Linked DNA regions of Medicago truncatula. The protein of the gene in region 2 interacts with the protein of the main gene of each other region in a pairwise test. Links are inferred from orthologs where the notes say so. Each region holds a gene or a part of one and is shown on either strand. Other genes may lie near its edges. The genes, in order: cell division protein FtsZ homolog 2-1, chloroplastic; protein ACCUMULATION AND REPLICATION OF CHLOROPLASTS 6, chloroplastic.

The links.
Region 1: the proteins of protein ACCUMULATION AND REPLICATION OF CHLOROPLASTS 6, chloroplastic (region 2) and cell division protein FtsZ homolog 2-1, chloroplastic interact in a two-hybrid assay, tested with the Arabidopsis thaliana proteins (3 studies listed by BioGRID, with this or other methods). The link is inferred for Medicago truncatula from reciprocal best matches to the Arabidopsis thaliana genes ARC6 and FTSZ2-1.

What each region holds. Positions count from the first base shown.
Region 1 is NC_053048.1:49,364,895-49,376,794, reverse strand, and holds the start of cell division protein FtsZ homolog 2-1, chloroplastic, read right to left. Parts: upstream 4,414-11,900; 5' UTR 4,242-4,413; intron 4,022-4,241; 5' UTR 3,946-4,021; coding exon 3,262-3,945; intron 1,814-3,261; coding exon 1,514-1,813; intron 1,124-1,513; coding exon 1,033-1,123; intron 506-1,032; coding exon 381-505; intron 1-380. Other genes in the region: F-box/LRR-repeat protein At1g67190, read left to right, coding at 8,160-9,419. UniProt on the Arabidopsis thaliana protein: Exhibits GTPase activity which converts GTP ligands to GDP.
Region 2 is NC_053042.1:7,526,994-7,539,145, reverse strand, and holds the start of protein ACCUMULATION AND REPLICATION OF CHLOROPLASTS 6, chloroplastic, read left to right. Parts: upstream 1-7,038; 5' UTR 7,039-7,152; coding exon 7,153-7,665; intron 7,666-8,481; coding exon 8,482-8,706; intron 8,707-9,690; coding exon 9,691-9,951; intron 9,952-10,079; coding exon 10,080-11,043; intron 11,044-11,212; coding exon 11,213-11,349; intron 11,350-12,152. Other genes in the region: mediator of RNA polymerase II transcription subunit 11, read right to left, coding at 1,035-1,211, 2,987-3,103, 3,222-3,275. UniProt on the Arabidopsis thaliana protein: Component of the plastid division machinery consisting in a binary fission accomplished by the simultaneous constriction of the FtsZ ring on the stromal side of the inner envelope membrane, and the ARC5 ring on the cytosolic side of the outer envelope membrane.

The DNA.
Region 1 (11,900 bases), on a different chromosome or scaffold from region 2:
TTTGGTTAACATTTAAAATTATTGGGATTTTTTTTTTAAATTCCTAAAAATAACTAGAATTTTTATATGGTTTTCCATGCATATTCTCATAAATATATGTTATAATTCTCGAAATGCCCCCTATTAGATATATGTTAGTTTCTTCTGTTCGAATGTAATTTGCATGCTGTTGTAAGGGGGGAAATCTAACTTAATTCAGTGCATGTTGCTCCTGACCACTTCCCATGATCCTTAGATCATCTAAATTTTGAATCAACAGAGGGAGAATAAACTTGTAAAAAAAAAGGAGAGAGAAACATCCTGTGAACGGAACTAAAGATGTAACTAACAAATATTTAACAAAGGATAAATCTGTAAGGGTCAGAGGGGTAGCCAGCTACCTCAAACAAGGTCAGATCACTTCCACCAGTTATGTTCCATACAATTCCAGTGGCCCTCTCTATACCAATATCTAGTAAGGGCGACTGGATAGCATTTAATGCAGCATCTCTTGCCCTCGTTTTCCCTTCAATACAAAAAGAAGCTAGAGATAAATTTCAATGATACATGTAACCATGGACAATAATAATGTGCTCATCAGTTCTGACTAAGCAAAGGGTAATACATTCATATTTTAGTCAGGTAACAGAAAGTGACGTAAAAATGTGAAATTTTCTGATTGAAGAACATTAAAGCATATTCACCATCAACATGTGTGCATCTCCATGAATTTTGAAGTGTGCATGACTCATGAGAGTTAATTTTGCAACCTTTAAATTGTTTTGTTTGGATTTCTTATGTCAAAGAATAATTTCATTGCAATGCCAGCTATCCTCTAAAACAACTTTGGCCGTAAAAACCTTCAGTTATAGACATGCACACCATATGATATGCGAATATAACATTTGGTAGTCCTATATAATTTGAGTATTACACCAAAATCTACATGTATTATGTAAGCGAACTATAGGTTTCAGAAATATTATTTGGGTCAAATAGAAGATCTGGACTCAGGAGCAGTATTGCAACCCCAACAGCAGTTTGCATACATACCAGTTGCAGTTCCTATCCCCATAAGTGAAGAACCTGCATTAGCCATTATAGCTCTAACATCGGCAAAGTCGACATTCACCAACCCGGGTATCTGCATTTAAATAACAAAATTCACAGGCATTTATAATTCAAAAAAAGACACCTTCAGCTTTGAGCCATGGGGAAAGTATTATCAGGACATCTTATTATGTTGTTTTATCAAAACGCATCTAAAACTGATAACAAAAAATATATCAATTTAGTTAATACATAAACTAATGGTAACACAATTTTGAACGAACATAATAAAAAAACTCAACAACCAAATGTGGATCAGGGGACTACCGGATATGTCAAAACTCAAAATAAATAAAGATGCAATTAGGGTTCCCTCTCTTTCATCCTTTTACTAGTATACAATCAGAATTTAACGTGAAAAAACTAAACAAAGCGACAACAGAGAGGTATCAGTTCATGTCCAAAGAAATTTATGATTCCATACCGTAATAATATCAGAAATGCCACGAACACCTTGTCGAAGAATATCATCAGCCAGATTGAATGCTTCAGTTACAGGGGTAGACTGAGAAACTGCAGTAAGCAACTTGTCATTTGGAATAACTATCAGGGTATCAACATTGTCTCTTAAGGCTGCAATTCCTTCTTGTGCTTGAACTGCCCTCCGCCGTCCTTCAAACGAGAAAGGGGTTGTGACAATACCAACAGTTAGTATACCCATTGACTTTGTGATACCAGCAATAACTGGGGCTGCACCAGTACCAGTTCCTCCACCCATTCCAGCCTACATAAATAAGTTTTGATTTTCAAATTTATCAAAATATACCAACGAATAACAATTTGGAACCGCAGCCGTGTCTATTCCCAATTCTGAAAAATCCACAAAGGCATTGACTAAAAAAAAATCATACAGACTAGAATTTCATACACATTTCAATAATTCGTCTTCTAAAACCCATAAGGAATATCACATAAAACTAATTTAAAAATGCACAGGTTTCATAAAAAAATTATATTATAGTCTAATAAACTATATTTTGAACTTCAGTCCATCACAGTATTGGAAATTGCAAATCTCTTCCATTTTACAAAAAAGCATAATTTTGATAATTTAAAGTGACATCCTAGGGAAATGATATTTCGATAGCAGATTTAGATAAGTTGACAATCTAAGTGTAGTCATCTGTCATGAAATATACTCTTTTGAGTTTCGACAAATAAACAAGTGAAGGAGAAAGTGCCTTTTAGCACAAAACGAGCTTCCAATTGAAGTGGAGATGCCAGCAACCTAGTTGTATGGGGATTGATGTATACGTCATTTTATAATTTTTACATAACGTTTTTTTTTTGGTCAAGTAGCCACTGCCTAGTGGCTATAAATTCTCTTTTTAAGGAGAATAAGTGGGGCGTCCGGGGTTCAAACCCTGGCCCCTGCATATATTAGGCAATGTCCCTACCAACTGAGCAAAGCTCACGGGGACACAAAGTTATTATATTACTATGAGCGAAGTTGTTGTATATTGTAAGGAGTTGAATCAATTTTTATACATTAGAATTCTCATACATAAGCATGCGCCTGGGTTGATTTCATTTAAGTGAAGAAGTTTGGACTGACAGATATCCTGATACTAATGATATTTTTGTTTTGACAGTACAAACTTTTGCTTCACCCCCTATTAAGTACCCCCCTCAACAAAAAATCCATCAGTCTAGTATTATTTAAGACTGAACATTGAAATGAAAGAGATAAAAAGCCTAACTTATAGTAGTTCAGAATAATCTTGAATTCTAACATTTTGAAGAAATGCAACAGTACAGAACAAAAAAATGATTGACATGAATGGACAGATAAACAATGCATGATAAAGTATAAAGCTATGATAACTCAGATCAAACACTTGAATACTACCACAGAAAAGGCACGTAGAAAAGAGCACAGCTTCACAATGAGCCAAATAGATAACCCCTTTATGGAATACTGAGGCCTATTTCTCCTCACACTACACAATAGATTACCACGCCCATTCTTTCCTACCAATCATGTATTACTATTTACTCTATTCTACTGAGTCCTAAATTGACGGAAAAAATTACTTCAGTATTATAAGAAAGCGTATAAATCATGTCAACGCATGGTAATGTTCAGAAGTATGCAGTATACTAAATATATAATTCATAATGTAAAACTGTAATGCAGAACAGCCATAATGGAAGGAAAGTGGTTGAACATACAGTAACAAAGACCATATCAGCTCCATAAACCGCCTCTTGTATCGAATCTTTACTTTCTTTAGCAGCATTCATACCAATCTCCGGGTTGCCACCAGCACCAAGACCTCGTGTAAGCTCTTGACCAATTGGCAACCGGTTCTCAGAATTGACAGGCGACATTCTCATAGCCTGAACATCAGTATTAACAATCCAAAACTCCACACCATTCATGGAACTCTCAATCATACGATTCACAGCATTCGATCCACCACCACCCACACCAATAACCTTAATCTTCGCTTCATTATAATTACTCGGAGTCAAATTGTCTTCCAACCCTTCCATCACATCACCACCGGACGTATCCTTTCTCGGACGCGTAGAGTTGTTTAATCCACTGCTTCCTTCTCCTCTAAGCATTGAAATCTCAGGATGAAGATCCAAAAAAGGGTCTTTGCTATGATGATAAGGACTGACACTGTGCGAATTCGGTAACCCTGTCGACTTCACTTGAAACAAACCACACTTTCTGTTGTTAACGCTAGAAAATGCAAACTTATTTTCGTGAATTTTGACGAAACATGATTTGTTAATGTGATGATTTTCTAACAGTTTTCTTCCTCCATTAACAGCGAGTACCCCTGCTGAATTTCTTGAATTCGTAGGTGCAAAACAAGAAGCCATTCTTACAGTATCCAAACTCATAAGTGGTAATTAATGTGTGAATTTAGAAAAATCAGAAATTCAAAGTGTGGAGGATGCAATTCGGTTGCAGTAGTACCTGTTAATGAAAATAATAATAATAATAATAATTGAGATATTATTTAGGGTAAGACAAATATAATTAAGTAACTACAGTAAGGTGTAACTGGTAGAGAGTAAAGCGAATTAATTGTACTGATAATGATAAAAGTGAATGAAATGCAGAGAATTGAAGAAGCGTGGTGCGAATTGATAAGTGAGAAGTAAAAGTGGTAAAGAATTGAGAAGAGAAGAAAAACCTGAGGAATGGATTGAAGATGATGTATTGGGAAAGCGAGAGTAACATTCGAGTGAGTGAGTGAGTGAGTGATTGATGGTGGAACCAAAGAAAAAGAGGGTTTTGTTATTTCACAACAAACACGGTCTATTTTCTTAGCTGTCCATTGTTCTTGATAACGAAATGAAAATGTGGGGTGACTCACGTTCTTTTCTTTCATTTTTATTTTATTTTTATCATTCACGAACTCGTAAATATTCTCTTAAACTTACACTATATACAATCGACGTTCGTTACATCAAATAAAATGTGAATAACTCTTATCTTTTCTTTTTTGAAACGAAACAAAGAGCGTTTTGTATTCTTTCGGTGCTTGAGACAATTTTGTCTTCTCAATATTATATTACTATAGGTATGAAATTGACTATAAAATGACTAAATTTTGAGATTTGTCTTAATTTTGATGAAGACATGTTATTAATTTCTCTTAAGAATATGTGAGACATAAAAAGTGAGTTTTGTCTTTCTAATAAAATATTTTCATATACAAGATTTTGAGATCGAATACATTACCAATTATTTAAATGGATCAAATATTTTACTATTTAAATCAATTCATTGCATTGGTAATTCACCTCAACTTTTTTTGCATAAAAAAACAATACTATGTAGTATTTGTGAATATATTTTACATATTAATGGTGTCATAATATTATATTCTTGTGTATATTTTTTTTATACCAACAAAACATTTGTGAAATTGCTTTTTTTCTTTTTAGTCTACCATATATTTGAACCTCTATAGGAGATAAATACCTTAAATAAAATAAGTTTCTTTCTTTTTTAAATGTATTGTATTTAAAAATAAAAAACTTTGAAGGTTTTATATGTATTACTTTTTTTTTCTTCAAATAGTTTAGTAGCTATAAATTTACATCTTAAAATGAATAAATAAAATGCTCAGAGACTCATGCATATATTATGCAATGTCTCTACAAACCAAGTTAAGCTCTCAAAGAAGTTGCATAACCTTTTATCTATTAAACTTATTATTATGATCAACTTTTTATAACCTCATAATAACTCCATTACTTTTTTCCCTTTCTTTTTTCTGTTTTACATATGTTCTTTCAGAGAAATTAATCTTATTCAAAGTGTATCAAAAACTAAATATAAACATTGGTAGGAGTCTAACATATTTTTCTAGACAACTTTGGTTGGTAATAACTTCTCGACTTTATTTTACATGTTAATAAGGAATGATTAGATGCAAATTTTTAAAAGTCAAAATGATACAAATAGATTTTTTGAGAATCAACTTATGTATATACTTTTTTTTGTTTCTCGTAGATTTTCTCGACTAGAAATAATTTTCTCCACGGTATGTGGATACATCTCTTAGTCGCAATTCAAACATTTGTTATGGAGTGTCAACAGCCGTGAAGTGATTATTATGAGATTCGTTATGGAGTGTCATCTAATCATACGATGATGAAAGATTCGAAGAAAAAAACCTCAAATTGAGGGAGGATATAAAATCATGAAAATTATGAAACAAGGAGACCAATGACCCGATTTTAGAAATACATAGATTAAAATTTTAATTTAGGCAAAATAGAGAGACCAAAAATACATTTAAGTCTTTATAGTACTACACTTATCTTGCTATATAAATGTTTTCAAACTTCCCTAAAAAAATGATGTCAGACTTGAAAATTAGTCGAGTGATTGACTAAGAGTTCTTAACTTCTCAGTTGTGATTCACTTTTAAATTTCAAATGGCTACGACAAATGAATGAATTATGTCTTTCAGCTGTGAGTTGCGAAATTTCTCCAAAGAGTGTTAAGAATTGTGTTTTTTTTTTTTGCGAGGTACTAAACTAATGATGCACAAGCAGAAAGATAAAGAATAAAAATTGCAAAAAATAACTTGTTTGATTGACTATGTGCGTCTGAGTAATTTGCACAGTGTGGCACATATAGACAAAGTTAGTCCTGATGGCGAAAACATTGCGACCTATAAAATTTAACCACAATTGACTCTTTTCCAGTTTCTGCACGATTCTTCATGTTGTTGGGTGTACGTGGTACCGTACGTTGGCTAATTCCCCCGTATCTTGCGACATTTCCATTTCCCTTTATCCATGCATGTGTTATGGACTTAGATCATGCCTCTTTAAAGATATTTGTTTTGATTAATGACTCTATAACCATGGAACACACACAAAATGTTGAATAGTCAAGTTCCACGCGCCTTTGACCTGTCATGACATTTAAAAAGCATATGTGAACCGCATTGAACTTTGGAAAGATTCACATGTCTCATATTCACACACTTTTGATTAAATTTTATGAGATTCGACTAAACCTTAATTTAGCTAAACCTTATGTCACACCATTTACCACACGTGTTTGTTATGTAGATTTTTTATTTTTTTTTTTCAAAAATGAAGGATAAATGCCACATATAACTAAAGTTTTAAATTGGATCTATGTTACATTAGCAAAAATGCTATAACTTATAATCAAATTTGGGTCAACGATTTTGAAATTCCGCAAACCAAATACCCATGAAGCCTCCTATCACATGAACTACACGAATATTTCCCCTGATTGGACTTGTAATACCAATGGGGAGATTATCGCTTAAATCAGTATATTCCTTCATCATGAATAAAATCACACCCGAGATCAACGTTTCTAAGTTGTTTTAGTCGATTTGGACGATCCGCTTGTTTCTTTGGAAGCTGGCCTATTGGAGGCTTTTGATGAATGAATTAAGGTACAAGATGCATATCTTTGATAAGGATAACCGTCCTGAGATTTCGCTTAACCCTATAGTAACCGCAGAGGATCCAATCCTATATTAAGTAGATTTGGGCGATTTTACATGCTATAAACCCACCCAATATATATATATGTTATAAACTCTGGCAAGATATTTCACATATATCATATATTTCAGAGGTATTTCGAGATATCTGATTTGTTATTTTTTTGCTGTGTTTTAATTCATTTCTTCTTCCTAGCACGTGACATCATAGCACACGTTTTGAAGACCCACCCAATTTAACTTTCCACACAGCCAAATTTTCCCTTCGTCTGAGGAGAGAGCCGCTTCTTCTTCTTCTTCCAGCTCTCTCTCCCTCCCCGTCTCTCTCCCTCCCTCTCTCTCTCTCTCTCTCTCTCTCTCTCTCTCTGATCGATTTCAATTTTTCTTTGCCGACCCTTTAATCATCCAAGTAAGCCCCTTCTAACTGTTATCTTTCGTCTAATCTTTTCCACTTTCATTTTAATTATTCAATTCAATGCTAACTTCACATCCTCTGCATAAAAAATTGGTAAAATTCTCATCTTTTTAATGACCCAGATACTATTTCACTCACATGATCTCCTTCCCCTGTCATTTCATTGATAAAGTTATGATTTTTACTCAATTAATTCATTATTGTTATATTTTTTTGGTAGGTTTTGATATACCAGACTGTTTCTGATTGATATTTTGGTTGGTTCTGTTACCTTTTGTTATTATGCAATGGATTGGAGACCCTTCATGTTGAAGTGATTGGTATCATACTATCACTTTCTATTACTTTGTATAATCTCATTCTCATGCTATTTCAATGATAAAGTTCCAATTTTTTATTTTTTAATTGAGAAAATTTTGAAGCACTGTTAGTATTAAAAAAAATAAAAATTCACCATCATTCAATCACAAATCATCATGACTTTTAAGTTAGAATATGATGAAAGTCAAACTTTTTTGATGATCGAACTGTTATAACGATTGAATCGTTATGATTAATTGAAAGTGTGAAAAGTCTTTACACTATCCCGGACCCTGCGTAAGCTGGAGTTTATTTTAATTTGTTTTTGTCATGTTTTGATGAATTATACTGTTTTTGATTGAAATACAGGTTCTGTTAAATTATTTTATGCTATGGAGGATCTTCCTGTTGAAGTGGTTGGTATCATATTATCCCATCTTGGGTCTGCTAGGGATGTTCTGATTGCATCCTTAACTTGCAAGAAATGGAGAGAAGCTTGGCAGACTCACCTCCAAACTCTTTCATTCAATACATCTGACTGGCCCCTATATCGCGAAATTTGCTCTAGTCACTTGGAAATGCTCATCACTTGTACACTTTTTCAAACCAAAGGATTGCAGTGCTTAACAATTTTCATGGACGACGAGCATGAGTTTTCTGTTACCCCTGTCATTGCCTGGCTTATGTATACGAGGGATTCATTGCGCGAGCTACGTTATAATGTGAGGACATCCCCTAATTTCAATATCATTGAGAAATGCAGCAGGAAAACATTGGAAGTTTTGACCCTGGCTAGCAATCCTATCTCGGGTGTTGAGCCGAAGTATCATAAATTTCCTTGCTTAAAGTCGCTGTCGTTGAGTTTTGTTAGCATCTCAGCGTTGGATTTGAGTCTTCTTCTTTCTGCCTGTCCGAAACTTGAAACCTTGTCTATCGTTTGTCCAGAAATCGCTATGTCAGATTCAGAGGCTTCAATAGAGCTTAGCAGCTCTTCTTTGAAGGATTTCTTTGTCGAGTCATATAGTTTTGATAAACTCATATTAGTGGCGGATATGCTCGAGAATCTGCATCTGAAAGATTGTTCCTTTGATGCTTTTGAATTGATCAATAAGGGGACATTGAAAGTATTGAAGCTTGATGATGTGAGTGTCATCCATCTTGACATTGGAGATAATACAGAAAACCTTGAGATCGTAGATGTGTGTAACTTCATATTTATGTGGCAAAATTTTTATAATATGATCTCAAAAGCGTCAAAGTTAAAAAAGCTTCGGCTGTGGAGTGTTGTTTTTGACGACGAGGATGAAGTTGTTGATATAGAGACCATTTCTGTTTGTTTTCCTAGATTGACGCACCTTTCCTTAAGTTATGATTTGAAAGATGGAGTGCTTCATTATGGCTTGCAAGGGTTGTCTTTTCTGATGAATGTGGTTGTGTTAGAACTTGGATGGACTACAATCAGTGATCTTTTCTCAGTTTGGGTAGCTGGACTTTTGGAAGGATGTCCTAATCTAAAAAAAATGGTCATTTATGGCTATGTTGCTGAGATCAAAACACATGAAGAGTGTCAAACTTTTACCAAATTCACTGAATTCATGATTCAACTAGGAAGAAAATATAGTCATATAAAGTTTGAGTTTGAATATGAGTAGGAGGTTCAGCCACATGCATTCATTGCCGTCAAAGTATTGGTTTGATCTCATCCGGCGAGACAGACAAGAAGGTACTTTCATGTTCCATGATTTTCTTGTGTCGTTTTCCTCAAGTAGCACAAGCATTGCTCAGGTGTAAAGTAAGAGATTCTTTGTAATGTAGAGATCTCTGTTTTTTTGTTTCGTTGTTGTTGTTGTTGTTTATCTTTAACTTCTACCCCTCGATCTATATTTCGAAATACCAATATAACACCATTGCAACCTAAGGATTTAAATTGGGGTCGCGTTGTGGTCCTAAATATTGTGGAGGATCTTAATCAAACAGTTTGGTTCAACCTTAATTGCATTTGATTTACAATTGTGGAGACATCAAAGTAGCTATGCTAAATATTGTGGATGATCATAGATAGTCAAATAGTTTGATTCGACCTTGCTTCGACATTAATTGCAGTCACTTTACGATTGTGGAGACAAAATTATGATGTTGCAGTCTAAATTGCGGTGTTCGTCATTTTTTAAAATCCTTCCACAATCCTTCATTTTATAGTTTATTCCGTGTCAAAGAAAAAGGGGGGCTGGGGCTTATGAGCTGTTGATATTCACGTTGCTTTTTACTGCTTCACTATACCAATAACATATATGTGATAACCTTTATAATAGAGGAATTTAATGCTAAAAAAGTTTAGGGGGAGGAATGAGGATTGAATCCATTTTAAGTAAATATTGAAGAAAAAGTTCAGTTATGATGAGTTTTGGAGACTCACCCAGGGACAAAAAGAAAGTCTTAAAAGGTTCAAAAAACGCTTATGGAGTATTAACTTACGTTTTATCTATCAATGACGTCCATCGACATTGAAACTTAAACTCACTCGCTATAAGTGTGTATTTGGTTTCTCTTCCAAAGGTGCCAATTAATTGACATGTTTAATTGTTTTGGAGTATAGTTGATTTTGCTTCCAGAATTTATTCTATTTGAAGTTGAAATTTGTAGCATCTGATTCTATAATTGATTTTTACTCATAAATTTGAAGTTCAACTCATTATTACATGAATATATCTAAACACAAATCACTTTATCTTCAATAAACTTAAAATCAGAATCAATTTACAAAATCAATTCACTCGATCAGTTTATCACTCCAGAACCATTTATGCACAAACTAAATTACTAACTAGGTCAATCCTCGTAAGCCAATCCACTGTGACTTGTGAGTCTATTATAGATAGGCTAGTACTGCATTGCACATGTTTGCTGTGTTTATTCCACATTTTCCTTTCCTGGTCTTTTACTCGTGAAAAATGTTTGTGAATACAAAGAGGGGCATGATAACATGTGCATACATATTACACTTGATCTTTACCTGATCTTTACCAAAAGCCGAGAAAGGTATATACCTTAAATAATATGTGCACATGAAATAAGTAAAATATTCATATCGATTTTATGTTATAGAGGAAAAATAAATTTACTTTGGGGTGGCATTTAGGGTGGGTAGGAGGAATTCTTTCCCACCATAGAAAAGTCTCAATTTGCTAGACAGGTGGCAGTTATGCAGGTGGGACTTAAAAAAAAAAAAAATCAATTAATTTATTTTAATGCCTTGGTTTTACACCTCCCGGTTGTCTTATGCTTCTGTTATGCACCCCCATTTATTTGTTTGTTAATTTGACCATTATACCCCTTATTTCCTTTTTTTTTACGTCAGCTCCCTTAATTTCTTTCGTTTCTGTAACATAGAATCATCCACTGTTCTCCCCCAATAAAAGCCTCACAAAGTCATCATGAATGGTAGATCTTGGTTTCATCTTGCACAATCCAGTAGCAAAATGTGTTGTAATTTTATTTCCTAGGTTCAATCATCTCCTCCCCATTTATCTCATATTCTTCGCACCTTTATAAACTTTGGATTTCTTGAAAAGCTCTGCTTAATAGAATGTGATCTGTTTTGATGCAATTGATATTAAGTTGCGATTAATTTTTTGCTTTTGGCTATCTGGTTCCGATTCTGGCATATTGAAGGTTCTGTTTTGTTGCTGTTTTCTTCATTCTTTGGTTTTTTACAGTCCCTGTGGTGTATTGTATTCCTTTATCCCCGTTATTCATTTCTTATGATGATAGTGATTAAAAAAATTGCAGGTCAAAAAGAAAAGAAAGCAGTGATTAATTTTATTTGGAAGCCCAGTAGTGAGCAGTGACTACATAAAAAAGATTGGAAGCCTAGATTCAAATACATGCAACCCAAAATAATTATAACAAAAAAGTATTATTTGTGGGGTTGGAATTTTTGTAATAGGCTTATTTACAAAAAGTTTTCAACAGGTTGCCAGCTATGAGTTTGACTGAATTTGGACCATTCACTTATAATAATACTATATCAATGGTTTAAAGTGACACTTTTTCATGGTAGGAAAGTATTCCTCCTACCCACCCTAAATGCCACCTTACTTTGGACTCTACTATGGTCTATTGTCACTGACCTT
Region 2 (12,152 bases):
AACTCATTTTCTTTGTCCCAAAATATAAGCAAAAAAGACAAACTTTTATCCTATTTAATCTTGTTTTTTCTTTTTCAAGCAAAACTTTTGTTTATTCTCATAAAATTAAATGCAAATTACATTCAATTTTCTATCTCTTTCATTTTTCTCTTAATCAATAGCCAATGAAAATTGTATTTACATCTTCCTTTAAAACTTTTTCCAAAGAAAACACAAAAAATTATTACTTCAAATTCTTATGTTTTAGTTTTCTTAATAAGTGATTTTTTTTTTTTTTGCTTATAATTTGGGACGGAGGGAATATGATAACAAACAACAATATAGCTTTTATTTGACAGTATTGGTTGCTATTGTCATATAAGATGCTGATAATAATGCAGACAAAATGTCAAGATGCTAAAGTAACAAATTTTGAAATCTCAAATAAGATGAAAGTTTAGGATATTTATATACATGCTGATAATAGTGAATAGTTTAGGATATTTATATACATGCTGATAATAGTGAATAGTGATACACGTTGTAATTAAAAGTTGTTGCGAGTTTAATTCGAAGTGTTTGTCCCATATATGAAAATTTCAGAATCAACAGCAATGCAAACACGCCATTTTTAATCCTGGTTTTTTCAACTTTGATGACATGTTCCTACCAGTTTAATTTCCGTGCCTAAAAAGGTGCTTATGAGTAGAGTTTTGTTAACTTGAGCAGAGTTTATATTATTGGAAGTTCTAATGGATTTCAGTCAAATAGTTGCTACTGCACTATGGCCACCATTGAGTTTCTCAAATGTCTTTAATCTTAAACATAGATAGCTAAGAATATTTATTTGAGTATGTGACTAATCATGAATACTAAATCCAGTGCTTCATAATCTGTCTTTTACATGTTTAGTGTACAATGCAAATAAATACATAAATAAGTCGCTCTCCTTGTTGAGGGCAACTTGAGTCGCTTGCAGCGCTGCAAAAACTCTAAATTACTGATTGAATTTTCAAAATCAACAGCTTAATAGGATAATTTAAGGAGCAAAATTTTCAGGCTGCTGCATTATGCTCATCTATAGTTTGTTTCATTGCCTCCAATTGTGACATGACATATTCCACCTTTTTGAAACATATCTCATTTGCTATTCTTGGGCCATAATCACACTTTTCAAATGGACGATATTCACAAGCACTTTTGATTTCATCACGCAACGCCACTTGGATGTCCTACAAAAAATAAAAAGAAAATGAAGGCTAAAGAATATTACAACATTATAGTAGGGTTTGAATATCAAATTCATAATGATGAACCAAAATAAGAACAGATTACATTGATCACAAATTCGCAGTATCATTTTCACTATTTAACCCTGAATAACTAAACCTGTTAGCAATTAGGGAGAAACTGAAACCATGTCATCGAAAACCACACACACACACGCACACGTATATACTCCAATAACTAACAGGACAGAACTCATTATTGTGAAATATACTAAACATTTTCAAACACAAATAATTCTTCTAGAGGTAGTTATTCCAAATACAATGCACTCAGAAGACCCTCTGTAGTTTGCACCAATTACCCAAACATGTACTTGGTTGTTTGGATCCAAGGTAAACTATTTTTTTTATAGAAATGGGACTTCATTTCATATCTTTAATTTGGATCTGTTGAATTTGATGTTCAATTTTCTTTCCATCGCATAACTAGTGTTGTTTGAGCAGTACTATGGCACATTCTGTCTTGGGTAATTTCAATATTGATTTTAAATTTGAATAAGAACATTATGAACGTAATGAACATTAGATTTCTCAGGATTCAAATACCAAACTTACAAAGAAGTGTGTTTATCACAACCAAACTTACAAAGGAGTGTGTTTTATCACAGCTGTGAAAACAAAGCTTGAAAATACACACCATGGAGAAACAGGACAATTTTAATGATAAACCATTGTTTAAGTGCCAATAGTCAAATCTTGAACTCAATTATACAAATTTGAAGGAATGCTGTGATAAGAGATATCTATGAATGTTCTATCAAGTTTTTTCAGATTTGATACCTAAAAAGAGGATAAAGCGGATATATGACCATTAATTGTAATTGAAAATCAACAGATAGAATTGTGATCAAGGTTATCAAGATCACAATTTAAATCGCAAAATCGTATGATCTTGCAATCCTACTCACATACTCTGATCAAGATTGTGTTTCTGAGTAAGATCAATGTGAGATTGTGATAAAAGAAATACTTGTATATAATGTAATCAATAGCAGATTGCGGAAAGTGCAATGCCAAAATCAGTTATGTGAAATAGCAAATAGTGTCACGGGAAAATGGTGGAAACTGCATTGCGGTTGAAAGAAGTCAATTATAATAAATAAAGTATGTTGCATACAAATGAAAGGGTTATGGGAATCACCACAAAAAAGGGGAATGGAGGCCAAGCATAGCTTATATATTGAAATGTCTACGTACATCGGTTGAGACTTGAGAGATGGCATGAATAAGTGTTTATAAGTGGGGGCAATCCTCACCTCACAAGCCGGTTTATATTGGGGCCTAACTTATCCTTACAAAATCTGCTTGTAAGGTGAGGGTTACCCACGCTTTATAAACACACAGGTCATATCTCTAAGTGATGTGGGACTAACTAACTCATCCTTACAAAACCGACTTGTAAGTTGAGGGCTACCCATGCTTTATAAACATACAGTTCATATCTCTAAGTGATGTGGGACTATATCCACCCCTTCAAACCCAATGGCCAACACAATGAGGTGTTGGAGGGTGCGATGAAGGCAACCCAATGGCCGCAATTAGGCGACTAGAGGCGGAATGCAATGAAGGCAGAATTTCCAATAGTTGTTACACAATAATTTTGGTGTTAATCGTTATATGATGTTAATTATTGAAATGGAACCACTTGAATCTATAGTTATATACCAGTGTAATCTTGTAATAAAAAGTGAATTATTGAAAGACAAAGCAAGGATTACCTTAATTAATTGCATGAATTCAAGACAGTGATTTTGGACAAGATCTTTTCTAGGACCAACTGGGCTTGCAAGCTCGTCCATCACTCCTCCTGCAAGCTCCAAAACCTTCACAATTCTCTATAAAAACACAAAAATCAAGCAAATATTAAGCAATTCTCTACAAAAAAAAAAAAAAAAACCAAGTATGAGTGGAAAGTTGTGTCACTCATGCGATGATGCTTGAAAATATTATTACCTTTTCCACATTCTCAAGTCGTTGCAATGAAGTTGTCTGGCCCTGTGAATCCATTGATGTTGCTTTCTACTTCAAATATGTACAATAAGTATTAGATCAAAACAAAATATTGCAGGAGCAGTAAGTACCAACTAAAATGCCATTTTTTTCTAATATCTTTAAGAACCGCACAAGTTAGATTATGCAGACTTATCATACCACAGACAGAAGATAAAATGTAAGCTCCAATCAATTTTAACGCAACACTAAATCATTTTTCTAAGCAGTAAACTAATGGTACGTTTGTTTGGTTTAAAAAAATCTACAGATTTGTTTAGAGAATCTTACATTCAAGTTCCTTGTTTCTAGAAAAGCTACTACTAGGAATGGCTTTTTTATTTTAAGGTTAAAAATGCTTTTTTTAACACAAACACACACTACTAAAATAATAAAAGTAATTTATGGGTTAAAAAAATAGTTTTTTCTCAACAAAAAAAAAAATCCCAAACAAGCCCTAACACAATTTTACAGTCTGATTTCTAGCAACAGCATCTGTTAATTGAAATTCACAGTTCTCATCCAAATTCAATGCTTATTTTGAAATGCTATCATATTTTTTACAGTAACAAAGACACTGAAGAATTTCTATCATATTACTATGAACCAATCAATTTTCACCTAGAACATAGAATACAACTTATAAAAGCTTCCCCCAAAATTATCATATAAAGATGAAAACAGTGAAGAAATTGCACACAAACCTGAGAGACTACGAGGGAACGCCGGAAAGAGAGGAAGAGGGAAGCTCGCGACTCGCAAATCACAACTGAGAAAGATGAGAACGCGGGGTGATGGTATTTTAGTAATATCCTCCTATTACGGTGAATATGGTCTACATTATGGTGGCATTTAACATGGAAAAGGGAAAGAGTTTCCCACCATGGGAAAACTAATTTTGACCATCAGATTAACTAGAGAACACAACTTTATCATAGACCATCAACACCAAATCCAACCATCCACCCTCTACATCTCATCTTCCTCCTTGCACCCACCACCCCATTATACCTTCTTCCACATTTACTCTCGCTCTAAATCTTTAAGTCAATTTTCACATCTTTAAATCTTTCCCCACGGTGGAATCACTTTCATCTCTAAATCTGATGTTTTAAAAGCTAATTTAATTTACTCTTTCTCTTTTAAGTAATTCATGACATGAAATCAATTTCAAGCTTTTCTCGACATAGTTTTAGCAGGATCATGTAGATAGCAAAATTTTAGTGAGTAAAAGACACCAATGCATTCCTAAGACTTTGGTCAAACCTCAGCTCCATAATCCGACCCATATTTACATTAACCCACTAAAGAAATACCAAAGGATGATATGTGGTAGAAATGTGTGATACAAGCTCCTGGAATGGTAGTCATGGTTGTTCAGAATTTTCAATAAAGACAGCTGGTGGTGGTTGGATAAGTCATGGAGGATAGAGAAATTTTTTGGTGTTGATGGTCTATGATAAAACTGTGTTCTTTATTTAATCTAATGGTCAAAATTAGCTTTCCCATGGTGGGAAACTCTTTTCCTTTTCCATGCTAAATGCCACCCTACATTATAGTTATCTCGTCGATTTATTCGCTAAACTATTTAAATCAACTAAATTGTACTTACAAATATTCTCTCATTTTAATTTTAATATTTAATCCATCAACAATATTTGTTGTTTTTCATGAAAATTCAACGATTAAACCGATACTATATTTCTTCGTAGTTTAGGACCTTATTATATTTGAACATGTAGTCTAGCCTAACATATATATATATATATATATATATATATATATATATATATATATATTAGTGTCCAAATAGAAATAAGGGAGGACATGATTTGGTTTTGAAGAAAATCAATTCGAATTAAACTAAACCATTTCAACGGTTTGAAAAATTGAACCGAACTGTTTGAACTTTACGAATAATCGAATCGAACTAAAGTTAAGTTTCGATTAACCGTGGTGGGAGTGATCCGTAGACAGGGTTATGGTTCTTGTGAAACCCTGGTCAATCTTAAATTATTTCATTATCTTTTTTATTGATAATTTATTTGTGTATTTTGAAGTTTGACACTCTTATACTTGCATCGCGTTGAATAAACATTATTTAACTGAATAATTCAACCATCATATTATTTTACCATGTGTATCATGCTTATGTGTTATATCACATGTGTAAGAATATTTTGACTACTAACTACTATCATAAAGTTCATTATGACTTGTATCACAAGAAGATTCATCTACATTAATATCAAGATGAATTGCATCTCACAAAATGAATAAAAAAGATGTGCATCAATGAGCCAATGTATTTGATACAGCCTTGTGGTTTAATGGTTATATATTTTCCGAAATGCATCTTTTTTAAAAATCAATTTGTAACAAGAGAAATTTTATGATACTCTCTAATACTCTCTCTAACATTCAAACTTTTATTTGATAAAATCTATGTGAGTACAACAGATTTTATATAAGGTGGTGAGACCTACATCAGAGTTTTTTATTTTTTTATAGAAACTTAGCATGACAATGGGGAATCTAATTTTTTTTTAGAAGTAAATAAAAACTCGCCCAAATAGCATTGGAAATGGAAGGGGAAAATATTATTTAACCCTAAAAAGAATGGATCAAGATCAATTTAAAAAGAAAAAAAATGAAAAATAAAAATGGCTAAGCAGATGCAATCCACCTAGAGGATTTGTCAAAATCAATAAGTGAGTTAGTAACGAGTTAGAAGAGAACAAGTGAGAAAGTTGGTAGAAAAAACAATGCAAATTCACTAAACAGGTGAAAATTCGCTTAACAAACTTAAGGTGTCTTAACATACCATTTTTGAGATGGCAAAGATTTCACTTTGAAGAAAGGCCAATTCACTTAGGAAGTTGCAATATGCTAAGCGAATTTCCACTTTCCAAAACTTTATAAATACAAGTTCAAATCACATTTTCAGACGGACAACACAAGAGAGAATGAGAGCAACTAAGGAAGAGAATGGCAAACTTTCATCTTTAACAATCTTTCATTCTCTTGTCATGTGTTGTAAAACTATTATATATATGCTTAGCTAATTTTGTCTATTTCGAAAATGTCTCATCTTGTTAATTTTTTTTATTCCATCTATAAATAGCTGTAAATACTACTTAAAATTTACACACACAAATAAGATGTCTCGATCGTGAACGTCTCATACGTTGATTAATTTATAATACGAAGAAAAGAAAAACATAATTCGTTAACGTATAAGAAAACATTTATTCATTCCTACAAATAAAATAAAGTAATTTGTAAGACATGGATCAATAAGTAATTTGTATGAAAAACTTATAGTCTTAAAAAAAGAAAAAATTGTAAGACATGGATCAACCGACAATACTAATACTACTACATGATAAATCTTCAATATAATGTGTTACCCTAAATAATACCGATGTTTTTTTTTTTTTTTTTTTCTGGTCGGGTTTAAACACCGAACCTTATATAAATTTTGTATTATTCATAGCAACTAACTGAACTAAATTTATGAGAACATATAATATCCATACTACTACATCGTACACCCTCCGGTAACTATTATAAGTAAAACTTTGTATTTTAGATTCATTTAATTAATGATGTACATTGTCTTTATTATACACCACATGCATAATTTAATGAATGAATCTAAAACACAAAATTTTATTTATAATAGTGGCCGAAGGGTAGACATCTTTATCTAAATATTTTCATTTGGATTTAAATATGGATTTGAATAAAACAAGTTTGGATTTGAACCCTTGAGTTTCACTTCCTAACTTCTATGGTCACAAACAAGATTATTTTATTACACGTTGGATAGAACATAACTAGAGGAGAGAGAGGGAGAAGAAAGGGTTTTAACAAAAGTTCAAAGTTTTAAGCTATGGATGCTGCGGTGGTAACCGGCGTAACCATCGGCGTCAGCCTCTCCACTTCTCGCCGTCTCACACGCTTCTCCAAAAAACCTAACCGTCTCCATTCCTCCGCCGTCTCCGCCACCAGTAAATGGGCGGAGCGACTCATTTCCGATTTCCAATTCCTCGGCGACACCTCCTCTTCCTCCTCCACCACCACCTCCGCCACAGTCACTCTCACTCCTTCTTACCCTCCTCCGATAGAACGCCACGTGTCACTCCCTCTCGACCTGTACAAAATCCTCGGCGCCGAAACGCATTTTCTCGGTGATGGTATTCGGAGAGCTTATGAAGCGAAATTCTCGAAGCCTCCTCAGTATGCTTTCAGTAATGAAGCTTTGATTAGTCGTCGTCAGATTCTTCAAGCTGCTTGTGAAACCCTAGCTGATCCTGCTTCTAGAAGAGAGTATAATCAAAGCCTCGTCGACGATGAAGACGAAGATGAGGAATCTTCCATTCTCACTGAAATCCCTTTCGACAAAGTAAGCTTTCAATTTCATTCAATTCAATTCACATTTGAGTTTTGCTTCATTAAAAAATGATTAATTGTGTTAATTGCAATGATAATATGAGTTTCATTTACTAAAACACTTTTATTAGTGGAGTAGTGTAGTTAGAAGTATAAGATACAAAAAATTAGTTTAAGACAATGTTTTGCAAAAACAGTGAATAGTTGATAAGCAGCTTATAGTGGATGAGCTTATGGAAGATAAGCTAGATGATTGAATTTGTAGTGTTTGTAAACTTAGCGGTTAAACTAGCTTATATATATGAAATGACATGAAAAATATATATATTTAATTAATATATAATTTTTTTCAATTTAGATTATAAGGGTAAAATTGAGAGAGAAAATGGTAAGTTATAAACTACTTGAGTTAGCTTATAAAGAAACTTTAAGCTAGTAAAACTAAGTTATAAGCTCGCGACAAAATGACAATTGTCTTTTTCAATCAGACATAAGCTATAAACTCAGAAATGTGTCTTGGCAAACATACCTTGAGTGTCACATTTGAGCTCCGCTTCAAAAGAAAATGATTTATTGTGTGTGTTGATTTCAATGATAAAATGAGTTTCATTCACTAAACAATCCTTATTAATGTGGAGTATCTAGAAGAAATAAGATACAATTAATAAGGTTAAATTAGTGGGGAAAAAATAGTTAATGTTTCATTAGTGTTCTAAAGTGACTATTATTTTGGGATAGAAAAATATTGCAAATGAGACAATTATAACGAGACAGAGCGACTATTTGTTAATGTTAATGCAATGATTCTTTTTATTTTTGTGTTTTGTAGGTTCCTGGAGCTCTGTGCGTGTTGCAAGAAGCTGGAGAGACGGAGTTGGTGCTTCGGATTGGAGGGGGTTTACTGAGAGAGAGGTTACCGAAGATGTTTAAGCAAGATGTTGTGTTGGCTATGGCGCTTGCATATGTTGACGTTTCTAGGGATGCTATGGCTTTGTCCCCGCCAGATTTCATTGTTGCTTGTGAGATGCTGGAAAGGGCATTGAAACTTTTGCAGGTGAGAGATAATACCTAGTTTTCAGGCCTATAATAATGTAATTTACTTACAGTGATGCCTGTCTGGATTTAGCTTCTAGGATAAGAAAATACCATTATATGGTTTTAGATAATTGATTGATTGTAGACAAGTTAAATGAGAGATTTTTGAGAAATTTTGAAATGTATAGGCTAATTTCAACTTGTATGAGAAACAATTGTTTGAAAATTGATTGCTATTATACAACTCTTAATATTTTAATTTTGATAAGTATTTGCAGACAAGGTTATCCATACTTGACTCTACGAGTAGTAGAATAATACCCCGTAGACATAGAACATAGCCAGTGCCCCTTTTTGCAATTTGAAGTATTCAGAAATTGCACTGATTAGACAAACATATAGCTTTTTTTTAGTGGAGCCATACTATCTAGTATAAAGATTTGTTACCGAACTGAGTACAAAAATAAAGAAAAAGTATAACTATTGATGATGGTTCAATGTAAAAAGTAATAATCTACCCAGTTATTCAACCAATCTTAATTACCCATGCAACTTTTACAAAATCATTTCTTTTAAGCTTGCAATGTATTAGGCCATATATGTATGTTGTATATTTTTTATTAAACATTTTATAATGTTTAATGAATGTCCGTGGATTACTTGTTAGCAGGACTCGTTTACAATTTTGTGTAATCTTTCATGTCATTATTGTACTTAGCTTTCCTAATATTGATGTAATCTTCTTACTTATCACTATTGCCACAAAATTGATATGGTGCTGTTGTTGTATTATGGATGTGGAAGTAATAAGTACTTGGGTGAAATTTTGTATATTTGTCAAGTATAGTATTCCTTTTAAACTTTACTACTGTTGCATTTCCAAAATCTACACAATATTATTTTTGCATGTATATAATGTGCATTAAAACAATGTGTATAGCTTGAAGACTCAAATTGCAGTTCTGGTGCAATATGCTTTCTGATGACTCACTTGATCATGTAGGAAGAAGGGGCAAGCAGCCTAGCACCGGATTTACAAACACAAATTGATGAGACACTTGAAGAGATAACCCCACGTTGTGTATTAGAACTTTTAGCCTTGCCTCTTGATGATGAACATCGAGCGCGGAGAGAAGAAGGTCTCCAAGGTGTCCGCAACATTCTGTGGGCAGTTGGAGGTGGAGGAGCAGCAGCAATTGCTGGGAGTTTCACACGTGAGGATTTCATGAATGAGGCATTCCTGCATATGAAAGCTGCCGAACAGGTGTTCATAGAATATATTGTGCATGTTTTTTATTTTAATTTTCTTCCGCCCCCCTTAGTTTTTGTTTATGAAGGTTTTACATTTATCTCTTTCATTAATTCTTTTTATCTCCAATCTTTTTTTTTAAGGTCGAACTTTTTGTAGCAACACCTAGCAATATTCCAGCTGAAAGTTTTGAGGCCTATGGGGTTGCACTTGCATTGGTTGCACAAGCCTTTGTAGGTAAAAAGCCACATCTTATCCAAGATGCTGATAATTTATTCCATCAACTTCAACAAACTAAGGTAACAAATATGAGGAATGCTCCCTCTGTTTATACTCCCATGGAGATGGAGAAGAGAGAAGTTGATTTTGCATTAGAAAGGGGTCTGTGTGCACTGCTTGTTGGGGAGCTTGATCAATGTCGATCATGGTTGGGTCTCGATAGTGACAGCTCACCTTATCGAAACCCATCTATTATAGACTTTATTATGGAAAACGCAAAAGGTGATGAAGACAGTGATCTTCCTGGACTCTGTAAATTGTTGGAGACATGGTTGATGGAGGTGGTTTTCCCTAGGTTTAGAGATACTAAAGAGACAAACTTTAAGCTTGGAGATTACTATGATGACCCCACAGTGCTAAGATATCTAGAGAGGCTGGAGGGTGCTGGTCATTCACCCCTGGCTGCTGCAGCAGCTATAGCAAAAATTGGAGCTGAGGCTACTGCTGTTATTGGCCATGTCCAGGCTAGTGTAATAAAAGCATTAAAGAGGGTGTTTCCTGTTCGGTCTGATAATAAAATATTGACATATGAAGTAAATGGTGAGAAGGATCATTCCAGCCTTTCTGAAAATGAGGATCCCCTTAGATTATCAGATCAGAATCCTCCGGTCAATGTTGAGGTTTCTGGAATAAAAAATACTGCTGAGATAAATGATGGAAACTTTATTACTGATGAAATAAAAAATGCAAGTGTGAAGATCATGTGTGCTGGTGTAGCAATTGGACTCATAACTTTAGCTGGTTTGAAGATTTTACCTTCTAAAAATGGCTCGCCCGTTCTTCACAAAGTGACTGGTTCAGCAATTGCGTCAGATACTATCAATTTAGGTATGGTCTTTTTGAATCATCTACAACCACTGAAGTACTAGTACAGATATTTTCTTACTCGTGAGATGGATTCTATTATCAGAGATGTGAAATTAGGTTTCTGTAAGTTCATGATGTAAGCTTCTGGCAATAGTTGCTTATTGTATACATAACAGATTCAACTGTACAGGTCCTGTAGGAGATGAAGAATTAGGAGAGCAACTACCAAAAATGAGTGCAATGGTTGCAGAAGCTCTAGTCCGCAAGTGGCAATATATCAAATCCCAAGCTTTTGGACCTGACCATTGCCTAGGAAGATTGCAAGAGGTAAGGAATTTAGTTGGTCCTTTAAAATGGAGATGGGAATTACTAATTACACTCTTCTAAAATTTAGTGTGAATATGATCAATGCACCGATAATGTATTTTTCTTCTACAGTCTTGTTAAATATGGCAATTGTGCAATCATGTGTCGTGTTTGTTTCATCCTTGACCTCTTGTGCAATTATTTATGCGGGTCTATTGTTTTTCCTTTTCATTGAATCCCAATTTGGTACAACGGGATACCATTTAGGCTATGTTTTTTTAGTTGTGTCAGCAGGGGAATGAATCATTTCATAAGTTGAAAAGGAAGAAGTGGAATTAGAACTTTGTTGGAGGAGAATTTTTTGTTTTTTGTTTGGTAGGGAATCGTTAACTGTTTAGTGGTTTCTAAAAAATCATTTTGATGACGCGAGTATATTCCTTACCACATGGTATTTTTTAATTGGGTTTTAGTCCTCTCCATTCCCATACCCTCACACGGATAAAAATTGGGTGTTGGATTTTCATTTTGTCAACATTTTACAGTAAAACTGAACTGATATATCAGATTAGATACCAAAGTCAGGTTGAATTTTGTCAAGTATACATAACATGAGCCCTTGCATGGGATGGATCATATATTATATATATGTGCATAAATGGGCAGGGTGGCCTTTTCATGTGTAAGTATGTAGGGATATTGGTAACTGAGAAGCATTATGCAACTTCTGAATGAACTGTTATGATATTATATTACTTGTGGGTTTTTCTTTCTTTTGGACCAGTACTGAGTTTATTCTCTTTTGTTACTTCTTGACTGATTACCAA